Linked DNA regions of Arabidopsis thaliana. The protein of the gene in region 1 interacts with the protein of each later gene in a pairwise test. Each region holds a gene or a part of one and is shown in the gene's direction. Other genes may lie near its edges.

Region 1 (2,838 bases):
AGCTGCGTGCTCTGTTTTAAGCTTGAAGGAGGAAAAACATGGCAGACCAAGAATCAGATAAGAACATTGAGATTTGGAAGATTAAGAAGCTAATCAAAGGACTTGAAACCGCAAGAGGTAATGGAACAAGTATGATCTCTCTTATAATGCCTCCTAGAGATCAAGTAGCTCGTGTCACTAAGATGCTTGCTGATGAATACGGAACCGCCTCAAACATCAAGAGTCGAGTGAATCGTCAATCTGTTTTATCTGCCATTACTTCTGCTCAACAAAGATTGAAGCTTTACAACAAAGTTCCTCCGAATGGTCTTGTTCTCTATACTGGAACCATTGTTACTGATGATGGTAAAGAGAAGAAAGTGACGATTGATTTCGAGCCTTTTAAACCGATTAATGCTTCGTTGTATTTGTGTGACAATAAGTTCCACACCGAGCCTTTGAATGAGCTTTTGGAGTCTGATGATAAGTTTGGTTTCATTGTTATGGATGGAAATGGAACTTTGTTTGGTACTTTGAGTGGGAATACAAGAGAGGTTCTTCATAAGTTCACTGTCGATCTTCCGAAAAAGCACGGAAGAGGAGGACAATCTGCGTTGCGATTTGCTCGTCTTAGGATGGAGAAGAGACATAACTATGTGAGGAAAACCGCGGAGCTTGCCACTCAGTTTTACATTAATCCAGCTACGAGTCAGCCTAATGTCTCTGGTCTTATACTTGCTGGTTCAGCGGATTTTAAGACCGAGCTAAGTCAATCAGAACTGTTTGATCCTCGTCTTCAAGCTAAGATATTGAATGTGGTTGATGTTTCTTACGGAGGAGAGAATGGTTTCAACCAAGCAATTGAGCTGTCTGCTGAGATTCTATCTAATGTGAAGTTCATACAAGAAAAGAAATTGATTGGGAAGTACTTTGAGGAGATTAGTCAAGACACTGGGAAATATGTTTTCGGTGTTGAAGATACTTTAAAGGCTCTGGAAATGGGTGCTGTTGAGACTCTTATAGTGTGGGAGAATCTAGATATTAATAGGTATGAGTTAAAGAACAACACGACCGGAGAAATCGTGATTAAGCATTTGGGAAAGGATCAAGAGAACAACCAAAGCAATTTCCATGATGCAGAGACTAATGCAGAGTTAGAAGTTCAGGAGAAGATGCCTCTGCTTGAATGGTTTGCTAACGAATATAAACGTTTTGGTTGTACACTTGAGTTTGTGACTAACAAGTCCCAAGAAGGATCACAATTTTGCAGAGGCTTTGGCGGTATTGGTGGATTGTTGCGGTACCAGCTTGATATGAGGACATTCGATGAATTATCCGATGGTGAAGTTTATGAAGACTCAGATTAAGTAAGAGAAAATGTGGTTTAAGATCTGAAGAAGGATTTGAAGTTTGGGGAAAAAAAGAAAGACTATGAACTTTTGTTTGATATACTTTGTCTCTCTCTATTATCTTCTGTTGCCGCTTTTAAGTTTTTCTGAAACAGTTATGTTAAAATGTATGAGAAATTTGAGCTTCATTATACTCTATTTTGAAGACATTTCTTATTGCCTATTTGAGAATTAGCTAAACATTAATATTGCCTTAACAGTAATGTTAACGGTAATATAAAGTCTAATTAGTCTAAGTGAGAATCAACATAAATAGTCTTACCTTAAGTAAATGTTCTCAAATTTCAGAAACTGGAAACTAGCCGTTTGATTATTGGAAAAGAAAGGAAACGAAAAGGAATACAAATAGCTAAATCTTTGTGTAAGATTTCACAATCTCTTCTTTTGTGTTATTTGTTTATATTTGTGTCTGAGAAAATCTGAGATGAATCCAAAAAGATGTGCAGCTTGCAAGTATCTGAGAAGAAGATGTCCAAAAGATTGCGTATTCTCACCATATTTCCCTCCAAACGATCCTCAAAAATTTGCATGTGTCCACAGAATCTATGGTGCTGGAAACGTTTCCAAAATGCTTCAGGTATATATATCTATACACATCTTTGTGTATCTTCTTCTAATATCCTATTTAAGATCACACTTTATGCATATATATAAGTAAGTGTATTCATGGTTGGATTTTGGTGATCTTTTTGACAGCAACTTCCTGATCAGACAAGAGCTGAAGCAGTGGAATCTTTGTGCTTTGAAGCAAAATGCAGAGTAGATGATCCTGTTTATGGTTGTGTTGGCATTATTCATTTACTTAAAACTCAGATTCAGAAAACTCAGAATGAATTAGCCAAAACTCAAGCTGAGATTGCTGTTGCTCAAACCAAACTTAGCCAAACCCATATTTCTGATTTTATGTAATATCTCTCAGTTTCAACAATAAATTCTCCTCTGCATTTTCGTTTCCGATTGCTTCTACTTATAAGATAGTGATCTTCTTTAACTTTAACTATATCAGACTCATAATCAAGAGGCCATTAGCTATACTAAAAAAGTGTTTCATAAAACACAAATGTAAACAAGTTCGAATCGAGTTTATTATTATCACAAATCCATAACTAAAGGGTGACAATTATACAGTCTTGAGTCTCTTGGCCGATATTTTGAGAATCATAATGTAAAAAGATAAATGAATCTGTTTACAAAATACATGACACTATTACAAATCGAATTTACTATTTTCCCTGCTTAAGCTCCCATTCCTTTTACAAGTACATGACATTACACTACTTTTGAAGGAGCTTTTCTTGTATAGTTACAAAGATGATCAATGAATCTGTTTAATAGACGAAAATATATATGTCAAGAGACACTGAACCTTCAAAATCGGCCTGTATCCCACTTGGTGAACATAATTTGATGTTGGCTCGGAGTTTCGTTCGTTTCATTCATTCCATCCGTG
Region 2 (7,098 bases), on another chromosome or scaffold:
TTAATGAGTTTATTCTCTAGATTAGACTCTCCTTCTGCGTAAATTCTTAGAGGGTAATCCTTTGCTTGTTCTTCAGAAATAACCTTAGCCATCTAATAAACCATAAATCAGCCATAACCATACATTAACTCAGCCACAACATAAAACAAATTTAGCCACAGATGCATTGATAAATCATAACTCAGTCAAACATACAATAACTCATCCACAACATAAAACAAACCTAGCCACATATGCATTGATAAATCATAAATCAGTCATAAAACATACAGTAACCAAGCCACAACACAAAACAAACTCAACCACATATGCATTAATAAATCATAAATCAGTCCTAAAGCATACAATAACTCAGCCATCAAATCGAATAGAAATAACAAATCAGCCACCATATGTAAATCGACGGCAAAAATCAGCCGTAATAAGCGTCGATAAAAACCATCAATATCATAACAGTGGTTTTAGAAAATGGTTTTAATCATGGGAATCACTTGCTATTGAACTTAGATGTCTGATTATTGTCGGAAAAATCGAAATAAAGATTTGACACATATCGAAACAAGTTGAGTTGAGACGAAATGTGACTCGATGACAACGACGTTAAAAGTTTCGGGCGGAAGAGACGAGAGAAAGAGAGAATAGCCACGAGAAATAGGTTTTCTTCGTTTTCGGATAAACACCTAGTAAAAGAGAAGACATTTTTTTTTCCCAAGATGAACAATGTCTGGGAGGAAAACCAAAATGTTCCTCTTAGTGACGTTAATAATGTGGCTTTATTTTTTTTTCTCTCTTAATAACGTGATTCATCATTATTTCGTTAATTATTTTTAATTAAAAAAGAATAAAAATGTTTTAACTAAAAAATACTAATCAAAAATGTTAATTGTAATTATATAAAAGCACTATATATATGAATAATTTTCAGAAAATGTAAATATTTCTATATTTAGATTGAGGAATAAACTTAAAAGCATCGCATGCTCATGTGTTGGTTTGTGATGAGTTTGGACTAAAGTTCACGATGAACCGTGGTTTTGAGGATCGTGATAGCTGCAATATGAGAAAAAGTAGGGTTAAGTTTTGTGATGACAGAATATGGCGAATTCTAGGTTTGAGGATTGTAATGATAAGAATATGCTTAACCAGATTTCCAAAAATTATTTACTTATAATGACAATAGTATGTTGGGAAAAAAAAATATGTTAAACTATGCTTTAAAAGTTTTTACTACTGGTATGAAAGTCGAGATTTGGTGCTACGAGTTTGATCTCTCTGACAAATTTTTTGCGTATACATATTATTTTATTTCTCATTTTTAAAATGGATCGATCTACAAATATTTGTGTTTAGCCAATAGTTTACCATATACAAAAAATTTACTAATGTTCGCGGAAGGAAATAAACTTAGCAAATATATTGTTGAATTCTTAATGATATATAACACTATTTTAAATATAAAAAATCGTCAAAATATAAATCTAGTGATTTATAATAATATAGCTGTTATATTGCCATTATAATTCAAAATCTGCATATCAAAAGAAAGAAATTTTGAAATATGTCACCATACTGAACCAATACTTTTCCTAAAAAATATAAAATTGAAGCTATTTCACAAACAAATCTGCATCTATTAAGAATAAACAAAAACAAATAATAACAAATCTTGACAAAAGAAAATAAAAATAGGAAAAAAACATACCTTCACAACCTGGGTCCCCCACCTCGGAGAAGTATGTCTTTATCTACACTTTTTGTCCTTTGTTTCCTCTCTCCCCCACCATTCTTTCTCCTCTCTCCGCTTCTTCTTCTTCCCCTGTTCCTCTTATAACCCCTCTCGTCTCATGTCTACCTCCTCCTCTTCTTCCGACAACGGAGCCGGTGGAAGCGGCGGCGTTTTCGAGGCCCCATCTCCATCCCGCCCTCGCCGCGGAGCCAACGATGTTTGGCCGGAGCCTTTTCTTGAATCTCTCGCCGTTCAAGTTGCCGTTAACGCTTCCACATCCGCCGGCCTCCTCGCCGCAGCTCCGGCTCTTGCCAACGTTTTTCGGGTCAGTTCTAACGTTCTTTGAATACCTTCTTTTAGTTTTGTAACGGTCGAGACACATCAATTATCTCGTGTCTCTCTATATATATATGTACTTCAGGTAGTAAAGTAATATTTTCGTTACACTATCTGAATTCGTTTATTAGCTTATATTTGAACTTGAAAATAGTGAGACATAGATCTTATGCAGACAAAACAAAGTCAAAGTAGTCGTGGGTCTATAATAACTTAAGTGGAGGGACACAATCTTGGTCTAGTCAAATGTACTGCTTGTTTCAAGTGTCTTGTACTTTAGTTGTTTCTAAGCTTAGATTTGATTCTGCCGTTCTAATTCTTTTTGGTATAACGAATTCTTACTCTTTAGATCATAATTAAGTGATGATGTTACTTCAATTCGATTGAATGTGATATTAGTTTGTAAGGTTGGGATTCTGAAGAGACAAAAAAAAAAAAAAACTGACCTTTGGAAAGGTAACCGCCCTTTCTGTGTTTCTATGATGGGTCCAAGTCCAACTTTTATGTCTAACAAGACGACATTAATTTGATGTCTCTTTCACATATCATATAGTTTGGGGACTTTGTTTTTCTTTTATGTATTTAGAAACTTTTTGTCTTCCATTTTTACCCAATAAGTTTATTTCTTTTTCATTGTTCTCTCGTCTACTTTTGATACCTTTTAATGTCTATTTTTGGATCCTCTAAGGAGACCATACAACCCCATCTCGTTTGTGTAATCTTTGTACAACATTTGGGCATAGTAACTCTAATATTAATATTATATTATGAATTGGATCCCTTAGGGCACAAAATCAAGGTTTTATTTTATTTTATTGGCTTTAAATCTTCCTTTCTTGGCATGTAGAAAGCCCTTTTTTAAGATCAAGAAATCCACTTTTTGACTCAAAAGTTCTTACAATAATAATCAAATTAAACACTTTCTTGTCTCCAAATATTGGTTGATAGACATTAGGCACAGTCTTTAGTCCAATGCCCAATAGATTTAATATTTTTTAGAATTATAATTATAACGGTATTTATCTGCTAATTGTTTTAAAATTATAATAATAGAAAGTGACCTCTCACGACAGACTCATAAAACTAGAAAATGTCGTTGCACATTTAACAACATCTAAAAAGAGAATGAAAAGAAACCTAAGTAAGGTCCTGTCTTTTTGCCTTGCCAATGTTAGTCCTATATTACCACATTAGGTTATTTTCTACATACATGAAAACTCTATTCATCAACAGATATATGATCCATGTATTATATCAGGCATTCATATTATTCTTTTTAATAATCCTATGTTATATATGAAAATAGCTGTTTTTTCTTTTGTTCATAAAAAAACAAATAATACATATATATATTATGCTGAAGATTTTTCTCATATATAGTAACGAGGAATAGTATATAAGTACATATGTACATTTTTTGCGTCCTGCTTTTGTTATTTTTTTCTCTGCCAATATTATGATCCACTGAGTAATGCATGCAGAGCTTCTGACAACTTCTCATTCTCTTATTTTATCTCACTTCTCTATGTATACATGATAATTCTAAATCATTATTAAATCCCATAATATTTTCTAATTAATTGAATTTTCAAATTTGCCCTAAAATTTTAAGAAACTGCAGTGTAGTTACAGCATAACACTTTTGTCAGAGAATTAAGGCTATAAGTCTAGAGTTTTCATTGTTGTTTTTTACTTTGAAATTGATCATGGAATTATCTTTTTTCCTGACTCGATTCATCTTTTCCATTGAAGTGGGTTTTTATCTTTTTTTTTTCTTTCCTTAATTTTTTTCAGTCAAAAGAGACGACATTATGGGCATACATATGCCGAAAAGCACATGGAACCCAATGTTAAGGGTCTCTTAGAGCACGTGCAGTGGTGTCTATAGATTATATACTATGTTCTTACATTTGATATATCACACATTAAAATACAAAAGTGATATTCTGAATCTGGTCATCTTAGAACTCAGGAATATTTGAACTACTTTCTTTCCCTTCTTATTTGAAGTATATCATATTGATGTGATTGGTAATTTGCATAATAATAAATAGGATTTGCCATTCCATCATATGTTATTTGTTGTACTAATCTATTTTATGTTACATTTCGTGCCCTAGTGCCTAGATTATTCTTTTTTTATAATGATTATCTGACTAATAGACATTAAACCTTTGGTTTGACAAGATATCTTTTCTTTTCGTATAGAATTCGAAATATTTGATTTTAGGTTGTACTATAGAGCTAGAGTACGAAGTCAAATACATTACTTTGCGTTTAATGAGGAATAAAGATGTACAATAAATAACAATATAAACGTAAATGTAGAGAATGTAGGTCCACGGATTGTTGGAGAGGGATGAGAGAGACAGAGAAACATCTACTATATATAAGTGTAATATTTGTGTATTTATGGGAAGCTCTACTTTTAACAAGACCAAAGGCTTAAAAGCTATCCTTTCTTGGAAATGAAAGAGAGAAGGGCACGCTTGTTGGCAAAGTCGGAATCTCATGTTCAGCTTAACTCATTTAAAGTCTTCTCATCTGTCCTAATAAATTAACATATCATCTGTTTTGTATTATTGTCACATTGATTTGTTTTTTGTTCTTTTGACATGGGACTAGGGCTTCCTCTCATTATTCCTTTTACACTAGGGCTTCTGTTGTTATATCTCTATCTATAGCTTCCAGAGATTGATTAGTCCCGTCAATTGAACATATGTCATAAAATAGATTTTTATAAAAATGAGTTGTGTGTTTCGATGAGTAAGACAAATATTACGCAGAGCTTGTGTCTGAGTCTGTCGTTGTCTTTCCATCTTCCTAGTCCCTATATATAGAGTCTTTCATGCTTCGTTGCAGGCCTACTTATCTTCTTTCTATGTCTTTTTTTACTCTCTCCCTTATTTATACATTTATTAATTAAGCTACTAATTATAATATTTGTTAAAACTTATAATAATTTTTCTTAATCGCAGGTTTGCACCACGTGGCACGCTGTCTCTCGCTCCGACCATCTATGGCAACTACTATCTCGCCAAGTTTGGGCAAGAACACATTTGATGCACGACACGTGGCGGGACGAGTTCATCTACCGTCATCGGACGGCTAGAAACTTCCGGACGCGTACTCACACCTACTTCACTCTCCAATTTGACCCGTCTGATGTGGACGAGCCTGATAGTCTCTCTTGCCGTTGTCTCACCCTCTCAGACCTCTACTTAGCCGCAGGGTTCGCCGACGGAACCGTCCGGCTTTTTCTTTTAAACAACCGACTCCACGTCAGGACCTTACGGCCACCTCTACGTGACCGCTTTGGTAGATTCTCACGAGCCGTCTCAGGCATTGTTATCTCCGACTCAAGGCTCACGTTCGCTACGATGGACGGAGACATCCACGTGGCGGAAATAGACGGTGTTGGTCACACACGCACGGCTTACGCAGGAGATATAGTTAACGACGGTGCGTTGGTAGATTTCACTGGCTGTGGACGTTGGTGGGTCGGTCTTTTCGCGGGTGTGCCAGGTCGTGCCTTTCACATATGGGACTGTAACAGCGAAGAGACAACATTCGTCGGTGGTACACTCACCGACCCTGAAGCTGTCATGGGATGGCACACGTTAACAGAGCTAACAACGTCCCTTGGCCGTCTCAGAATCTCCGGTAACGAGACGGCGGTAGCATGCACGAGATGGAGAATCATGGTGATCGATCTAAGAAACCAAGGAGTGATCATCGGAGAAGACGAAGAGCAACGTAGAGGACTAATAGTGACAGGCTTCGATGCCAACGACGAAGCGTACGTTAGATTGGACAGTAGAGGAAACGCTAGCGTGCGAAGGGTGAACACGCAACAAACGGTGTGTGAGTTCCGTGTTAGTGGAGCGGCGCAGAGAAGAGTAATGGGTTGTGTTAATAGACTGCACGCGCTAATGTGCGCAGGTGGTATAATGCGCGTGTGGGAGGTAGAGAGAGGAGAGTATCTGTACAGTATTAGGGAGAGAGTAGGAGAAGTTGACGCCATTGTTGCCGATGATAGACATGTGGCGGTTGCGTCAGCTTCATCAACGGCTCAGAGTATTATACATCTATGGGATTTCGGTGCACTGTAGCGTACCAGATTAATAATTTTTTTTTTTTAACTTGAAGAAAAAGAAACTATTTTTCTCTGAAAAAGCGAAACCCTAAACCTAGGTGTATATGTAGGGTTTCTGATTATAAATTAAATTGGGAAAGTGACGGAGGGAAGATGGTGACAGGAGGGTGAGATTTACAAGGGAGATTGATTCTTTCTACAGAGTTTGACCAAAAAAGTAAGTTACTGTTTTTGTCTAAAACCAAACAAAGTGGACTTTTTCTTGTTGTTCTTGTTTTTTTCCTTGTGTTTAGGGCTCTCTCAATTCTGACTTTGTACGAGATGTCTTTTTTTTTTCTTCTACTTGTAATTCTTCACTTTACTGGAGTTTATTATTTTGTATAATGGGTTTTAAATACATTTTGTGTAAAAAATATATTTTACAGGAGGTGTAGACAGAAACAAGATCAAAATCGAAAGAATGGTATAGAAATATGAATCATGAGATCTAGATGTGATTTGAGCATATCCCAATTTTAGGATATATTGGAGTGAATTGATAAGTAAAATGTTCAACAAGTTATTCATAAACAATAACATAAGAAAAGAGCATAATTGGACACACCCAATATACAAACAAAACGGCTAATCTCATTGAACAAACAAGATGATAAAGAGTGAAAATCAAAATTTTCCAAGTTTGAAATAGCGTTAGAAGCAAGTTCGAGAAGACCAAACACACGCCAATTCAAGAAAAAGTTGCACTCTACATAAAATTTGAGATGGTAACCATATATTGTGACTTTAAATCATAGTTCAAAACTTGGATTCTCACAAGAATGAGTCACGTTGTACCTACCGGTCCCTAAAAAACCATCACATAAGAACACAAACAGTTAGGATCTAAAACATGTTATTTAGAAACGAATTCGTAAGGACAGTTCTCAAAGAGAGGGAAATA
Region 3 (4,193 bases), on another chromosome or scaffold:
TTTATCAATAGTTTATGCATAAGAGAACTGATAACGATCATACTTCTTTTTGTCATTATGATAGCTTATGATTAATCATTGTTTATCCATACTTGACGCTTGTAAGTGAAACATATGTTTAAATTTTCAGGCTTAATTTAATAGCCACGAACCAAAAATTATCTTATAATAAAAGTTTGGTGCGATTTAAGAAGATTTGTCCCCAAAGCCCTATCTGAAAGAGGTCAAATTGGATTATTAAATTCAACATATTAATCAATTTGATATTTGTTTAATGGTCTGATTAGTGACAATTATAAGTCTAATATTGCGAATCTTTTGCAGTGAGTATTCCACGTGATATAGATAAGTTTCCCTTAATGGATAACCTTTGCATCAAACAATTAGAAAACAAATGGAAGAGTATCAATCAAGTAGATCTCGAAGCAGTGGACCCTAACACGATACTGGAACATGGACCAAACCTTAAAATATCGTCCAAATTGCTTATTTTCTGGAAGGTTACAAGTGCACAACACTCTAATAATATATGCCCCGCATAACAATTTTTAAAACTATTTCATCTTAGACCTCGGATATTTTGAAGGAAGCACATTTTCTTGAAAATCACTAGGTGACTTGTGTTTCTTTCTTTGGAGCATGTCAATTTACTCCCATCAGCTGGAGAGCCAAAAGTTAAAATTAATGTTCGAAATTTATTTCATAAAAGCTACGTACGTTGCATCCTTCCATGATCTAGAAAAAATGGGGGACAATAACCAAATTTATTCACTCTTGTCAGGTCATGGGGAGTAGTCTACGACCTTGAAAGTCACGTGACAAGTAATATATACTGTACCGTCCAAATATTTTCTTACTGTAATGTCTTATGTTTCATATCGCTAGACCCTTAATATTAGTGTGGACTAATTCATATAATTGCAAATAAAATAGTATGATTCTACGATTCTTCAAAATGATCTAATAGTTACAGTCTGGTCAAAATGATCTAAATCTTTATAAACAAATAACAGCTACGGAATAATTAACACAATTTTTGGTGATAAACTTTGAGTTATGATAGAAATTTTTTTTTTTTCAATTTTTAATGTGTATCTTAATTTCTTCAATTAATGTATCCCTATGTTTTATGTGACTATATAACTTTTGGTTAGTGATACTCCAAAAATGTTGTTTTAGGTTTTGACACACATATTAATAATTTGTTTTATTTTTTACTTTACAAAATTTCTTATTGGTTAAAACATAAATCACTGCAAATAAAACTTTAATTTTGTTTGTAGTCAAAATTAGCTTTTAAAAATGTAAATTGATATTTATTCTAATTATTTTTTTAATGTTCTGACAATTAATTTAAAACGGAAAGCGTAATAAAGTAGATGTTGGGGCTGATTGGTAACGGCTGTTACTTTTGAACTCTAAATATTTCGGATGTTACGACTTTGACTGTAAAAATTTTGGTTGTAAAAATTTTGACGATAGAAACTTTAACTGTTAAAGTCTGATTGGTACAAAAAAATCACAATTATTTTTATTATTATTTAATATTTTTTATAAATATTATTTATGCTAAAAAATCAATTTATTTGGTAAAATAGTAACTAAAATAAATTTATTTTAAAAAAATACAAAATTCATTTTACAAATTCACTATTTTAAATATTTAAATTGGATCTGAAAAGAACAGAAAAAATAAAATTCGAATTAATCAATCGATTTTTTAATGATAAAATATAAATAAATTTGAAAAGAGTTTTGAAATTTTATGGATAAAGAAAAAATATTTTTATTTTGTTTTATTATTCTCTTTTAAAGTTAAAGACTTTAGGAAAAAAACAAAAGAAAAAAAGTAAATGGAGAGAAAAAAGCTTTTAAAACTTTAAAAATTAATAAAGTTTTAAAAGTGTGATTGATTAAAAAATAAATTTGAAAATTTTTAAATATTTTTAAAGCTTTGAAAACATTTTTTTTTTTTTTGGGGGGACAAATATGAAGAAAAAAAAAAAAAAAAAAAGACGAACATGAAGGGGAAAAAAACAAAAGACGAACAAAAATTGGAGATTTTTTCTTACACGTGTCATCATCTGCAGATTTGCGCTTATTAATTGTTTACCGTACGGTATTGTGGATAGGGTCAAGATTTTCATAACTTTACCGTAGTTAATATTTGACCCAACCATGGTTAAAATAAAGCAGTTTATATCACAGACACACACCTCTCTCTCTTCTAGACTCACTAAACAAAAATGATGATCGGCGAAAATAAAAACCGGCCACATCCAACGATCCATATCCCTCAATGGGATCAAATCAACGATCCAACGGCCACAATCTCTTCACCATTCTCTTCCGTCAACCTTAACAGCGTTAACGACTACCCACACTCTCCGTCACCGTATCTCGACTCCTTCGCTTCTCTCTTCCGTTACCTCCCGTCAAACGAGTTAACAAACGATTCAGACTCATCAAGTGGCGACGAGTCATCACCACTCACCGACTCATTCTCCTCCGACGAGTTTCGCATCTACGAGTTCAAAATCCGGCGATGCGCTCGAGGTCGATCTCATGATTGGACGGAGTGTCCGTTCGCACATCCCGGAGAAAAAGCTCGACGACGTGATCCGAGAAAGTTTCATTACTCCGGCACCGCTTGTCCTGAGTTTCGTAAAGGAAGTTGTAGAAGAGGTGATTCGTGTGAGTTCTCTCATGGAGTTTTCGAGTGTTGGCTCCATCCTTCTCGTTACCGTACTCAGCCGTGTAAAGACGGAACTAGCTGCCGGAGAAGAATCTGTTTCTTCGCTCATACGACGGAGCAGTTACGTGTATTACCTTGTTCGTTAGATCCAGATCTTGGATTCTTCTCAGGATTAGCTACTTCTCCGACTTCGATTCTTGTTTCTCCTTCGTTTTCACCACCGTCGGAATCTCCGCCGCTTTCTCCGAGTACCGGTGAACTTATTGCGTCGATGAGGAAAATGCAATTGAACGGAGGTGGTTGTTCGTGGAGTTCTCCGATGAGATCTGCAGTTAGGTTACCTTTTTCGTCGTCTCTGCGTCCGATTCAGGCGGCAACGTGGCCGAGGATAAGAGAGTTTGAGATCGAAGAAGCTCCGGCGATGGAATTTGTGGAATCTGGGAAAGAGCTGAGAGCGGAGATGTATGCAAGACTCAGTAGAGAGAACTCACTCGGTTGAGTCGACTTGGATCGAGTCTTTGATGACGTGGCGACTCGATCTGATTTTGTGAATATTTTAGAGATTTTTAAGGTGTTGTGGATAAATGACGTGGCGGGTCGATCTTAGTGACGGTACAATCGGACGATGAAGAAAAAAGCGTTAAGAGTAACAAAAAAAGGAAGAATTTGTAAAGAGATGATAATGAGAGAATTTGAGAGCTATTCTTCTGGCTTTTTTCTCTGCAGTTTTTTTTATTGTTTTCGTTATTTTCTTGTTTTTATTTTGGTTTTCGGCTTTATTTTGTTTGTTGTTTATTAATGTTATATCATTTTGTAATTAGTTCTCAAATGTATTTGGATAACATCTTAGTTTGAGACTTTAGAAAAGAACATTTCATTTGTTGTTTCCTTCTTATCGATTTCGTTGTTATAATAGTAAGAGGATATAAATATTTTTTGTTGGCCTGTTCTTTTTCCAAACGCTGCGATCATATCCAGCGACCAAAAAAACAGTTGCTTAACACACAATTACGTTGAAGTCTGTAGAAAGTTATGTGAAGAGGAGTCGCTCGATTTTAAAAACAGCGACCTATAAGGCATATACACGTGTCGCCAAAAAATAACAGCAACTTAACATTTTCACTAAGGACGCCGCCGGCGTCCATATTGAACGACTGTTTTTGTATCTCCGTTATAATTTTTGCTTTTCGTCGGAGTCCCTATTGCTGTCACAGCGATTAATAAACGAACAAGCCCAACAATTAATCAGAGAAAATAGTCTCGAGAAAATAACTCTCTTGCATCATATCTCTAATGAACATCAAATCTGCCTACAAATTCTATTTTTAAGTAAACATATTCCTTTTGACAAAAAAAAAAAACTATTTGGCTATTTCCAATGGTAGACTAGATCCACTCTGAAAATAGACTAATGACTAATGAATACTCATAATTTGGATAAAATTTTCATTTTCAGAATGATTTTCAAATTTAAATATGTTTTCAGTAATACACGAAC
Region 4 (3,342 bases), on another chromosome or scaffold:
AGCCGCTTTTGATTTGAAGTTCCTTCCTTTCAAAGTTCCATATCCAGTTCCTTTTAGACTTCTTGGTGATGAAGCAAAAGGTTGGCTAGATACTACTTATTTGTCGCCTTCAGGTAACCTTAGGATTTCTAGGGGAAACAAGGTAAATGAGTTTCTTGATTCTCAAAAAGAAAATTAAAGCTTTATAGCATTTTTATCCATGAGGCTGTATATTTGTAGCGCAGGGAACAACGTTTGTTCTTCAGAAAGAAACCGTGCCTAGGCAGAAATTGTTAGCCACCATATCTCAAGACAAAGGAGTAGCTGAGGTAATGTGTCATGCCTTCAAGAAATCTGAAAACAATCGATAGTTTCGGTTTGAAATGGAACCAATGGATCGTTTAGTATAAACACAGGCTATCGATGAGTTTCTTGCGTCTAATTCTAATTCCGCGGAAGATAATTATGAGCTTTTAGAAGGAAGTTGGCAAATGATTTGGAGTTCACAGGTCACTTCTCTGATAACTTTAGCTTTTGTCTTGAACAAGCACTTATATTCGTTTGGATAAGCGATTTTTCGGGTTTTGTGTTTGCAGATGTATACAGATAGTTGGATTGAAAATGCAGCAAATGGTCTTATGGGAAGACAGGTAAACATTTTATTAGAATGTCTTAGGTAGTCTATTGTTGCTTCAGCTGGCTTCGTTTAGCGAAATCGAGTATCTTATTCAGATCATTGAGAAGGATGGGAGGATAAAGTTTGAAGTTAACATCATTCCGGCATTTAGATTCTCCATGAAAGGCAAATTCATGTAAGTCTCTGTCTTTTAGATTAGTCATTTTGCTAACTTTTTTGTGATCTTGTTTCTTGACTGGTCTCATGAATGATTTGCAGAAAATCAGAAAGCAGTACATATGACTTGAAGATGGACGACGCAGCAATTATAGGCGGTGCATTTGGATATCCGGTCGATATAACAAACAATATCGAGCTAAAAATTCTGTAAGATCTCTCTATCTTCTTCTTCTACTACTTTCACAAATCACAACATATAATAATGCATTTGAATTGCTAATACAGAGATGCTTACTTTAATGTTTGTAGGTACACAGATGAGAAGATGAGGATAAGCCGAGGATTCGATAACATTATCTTTGTGCACATCCGAGAAATTTAGCTGCATTGTTCTATCAGAACCTCTTATTTGAACATATGAAAAAAAATAGTATGTAAGAAACTGTCAAATGTTTTACAACAATGGAAGGTGATAGTTTAAATTTTCTCTGTTCATTAGTTTTTTTGGATGTAACAGGAACCAGAAAAAACAAGAAACCACATGATATAATTTTCGCTACTAATGTCTAAATTAAGACAAAATTAACATTAAGAAAACTTTACTTTTTGTCTTAATCTTAAACAAATTCACTGAATATTTCTTTCTACAAAGAAAATACGAATATCTCACTAACAAAGGAAACTTACCACTAACAGCTTCTGGTGGCATTAATTACTCTGTAAATTGCCATTTTTTCACCGAGAGAAAACTAGAAAAACAAAACAAAACATGGAAACTGTAACATTCTAAAAGATTCATTGTTAACAAAACCAACAGAGAAACATAATACTGATTTTCCAGGATTTACTCCCTCAAATCTCTCCTTCAAATACTCTTCCTAATCTCTTCTGTTTTCATTTTGCTTGTTCCCTGCGAACATCTCTCTCTCTTCCTCTGTTTCTTGTTTTTTTGTCCTTTTCTTGATTTTTGTATTTTTTTGTTATGGATATGGACGAGATGAGCAATGTAGCCAAGACAACGACAGAGACTTCAGGCTTAACTGACTCTGTCTTGAGCCTCACGAAACGCATGAAACCTACTGAGGTTACGACCACCACAAAACCTGCCTTGTCCAACACGACGAAATTCAAAGGAGTTGTTCAGCAACAGAACGGTCATTGGGGTGCTCAGATTTACGCAGACCATCGAAGGATTTGGCTTGGAACTTTCAAATCCGCTCATGAAGCCGCTGCTGCTTACGATAGCGCATCGATTAAGCTTCGAAGCTTTGATGCTAACTCGCACCGGAACTTCCCTTGGTCTGATTTTACCCTCCATGAACCGGACTTTCAAGAGTGCTACACGACAGAAGCTGTGTTGAACATGATCAGAGACGGTTCTTATCAACACAAGTTCAGAGATTTTCTCAGAATCCGGTCTCAGATTGTTGCGAATATCAACATCGTGGGATCAAAACAAGTCTTAGGAGGAGGAGAAGGTGGTCAAGAATCGAACAAGTGTTTCTCGTGCACGCAGCTTTTTCAGAAAGAACTGACACCGAGCGATGTAGGGAAACTGAATAGGCTTGTGATACCTAAGAAGTATGCAGTGAAGTATATGCCTTTCATAAGCGATGATCAAAGCGAGAAAGAGACGAGTGAAGGAGTAGAAGATGTGGAGGTTGTCTTTTACGACAGAGCAATGAGACAATGGAAGTTTAGGTATTGTTACTGGAGAAGTAGCCAGAGCTTTGTCTTCACCAGAGGATGGAATGGTTTCGTGAAGGAGAAGAATCTCAAGGAGAAAGATATTATTGTCTTTTACACTTGCGATGTCCCCAACAATGTGAAGACATTAGAAGGCCAAAGCAAGACCTTCTTGATGATTGATGTTCATCACTTTTCAGGCAACGGTTTCGTGGTTCCCGAGGAAGTAAACAAGACGGTTCATGAGATTTCTGATGAAGAGATGAAAACAGAAACCCTCTTTACCTCGAAGGTAGAAGAAGAAACCAAATCAGAGGAGAAGAAAGGAGGGTTTATGCTGTTTGGTGTTAGGATCCAATAGCTAGCTACTTGGTTCTTAGGTTTTTTATATTATAACTTAATTAGAGTATGGTTTTTATTTGCTTTTGTATTACATAGTTTTTTTATTTACAAACTCGATGCTTCGATTTTGATATCTAACATTAATTAGATAAATTGTCTCTCTTGAGTAGATCAAAAAAAAAAGAAGAAGAAAAACCAAAAGAGGCTTTAAATTCTTCTTCTTTTAAGAGTTAAGACAAAAGCCACTTAACTGCTACAAACTACAACGAACTAAACAATCCTAACAAAGACATTTAGTTAATGTCACAAAATGAAATAGATACAACTCACTTCTCTCTCTATACACTCCTTAAGAAGAGGTGAGTCTCCGCTTACATCTCCTTCGAGTCCCATCGCCCTCTTTGTCAGGAGTATCTTCTACAACAGTTTCTTCTTGTACAACCAACCCTCGGTTTCTCGATAGTTTTCTTATTGGTGTTGTCTGAGTATCTTGTGTGAAGTCTGCTGATGCAGGGGCTGATGCAGCGGGACAAGAAGAT

What was found.
Region 2: the proteins of LBD23 (region 1) and SAP interact in a two-hybrid assay, tested with the Arabidopsis thaliana proteins (one large-scale study listed by BioGRID).
Region 3: the proteins of LBD23 (region 1) and ATCTH interact in a two-hybrid assay, tested with the Arabidopsis thaliana proteins (one large-scale study listed by BioGRID).
Region 4: the proteins of LBD23 (region 1) and AT1G51120 interact in a two-hybrid assay, tested with the Arabidopsis thaliana proteins (one large-scale study listed by BioGRID).

Annotation. Positions count from the first base shown.
Region 1 is NC_003074.8:9,788,816-9,791,653, forward strand, and holds LBD23 (LOB domain-containing protein 23), read left to right. Parts: upstream 1-1,812; coding exon 1,813-1,965; intron 1,966-2,084; coding exon 2,085-2,297; 3' UTR 2,298-2,302; downstream 2,303-2,838. Other genes in the region: ERF1-3 (eukaryotic release factor 1-3), read left to right, coding at 39-1,346; AT3G26630 (Tetratricopeptide repeat (TPR)-like superfamily protein), read right to left, coding at 2,757-2,838.
Region 2 is NC_003076.8:13,935,533-13,942,630, reverse strand, and holds SAP (Transducin/WD40 repeat-like superfamily protein), read left to right. Parts: upstream 1-1,763; 5' UTR 1,764-1,844; coding exon 1,845-2,051; intron 2,052-5,040; coding exon 5,041-6,174; 3' UTR 6,175-6,545; downstream 6,546-7,098. UniProt on the Arabidopsis thaliana protein: Transcriptional regulator involved in the specification of floral identity. Acts as A class cadastral protein by repressing the C class floral homeotic gene AGAMOUS in the external flower organs in association with APETALA2 and other repressors.
Region 3 is NC_003071.7:11,039,571-11,043,763, forward strand, and holds ATCTH (Zinc finger C-x8-C-x5-C-x3-H type family protein), read left to right. Parts: upstream 1-1,760; 5' UTR 1,761-1,903; intron 1,904-1,995; 5' UTR 1,996-2,246; coding exon 2,247-3,194; 3' UTR 3,195-3,686; downstream 3,687-4,193.
Region 4 is NC_003070.9:18,936,328-18,939,669, forward strand, and holds AT1G51120 (AP2/B3 transcription factor family protein), read left to right. Parts: upstream 1-1,763; coding exon 1,764-2,822; downstream 2,823-3,342. Other genes in the region: AT1G51110 (Plastid-lipid associated protein PAP / fibrillin family protein), read left to right, coding at 1-142, 225-308, 396-488, 576-629, 712-791, 875-982, 1,085-1,157; AT1G51130 (Nse4, component of Smc5/6 DNA repair complex), read right to left, coding at 3,153-3,342.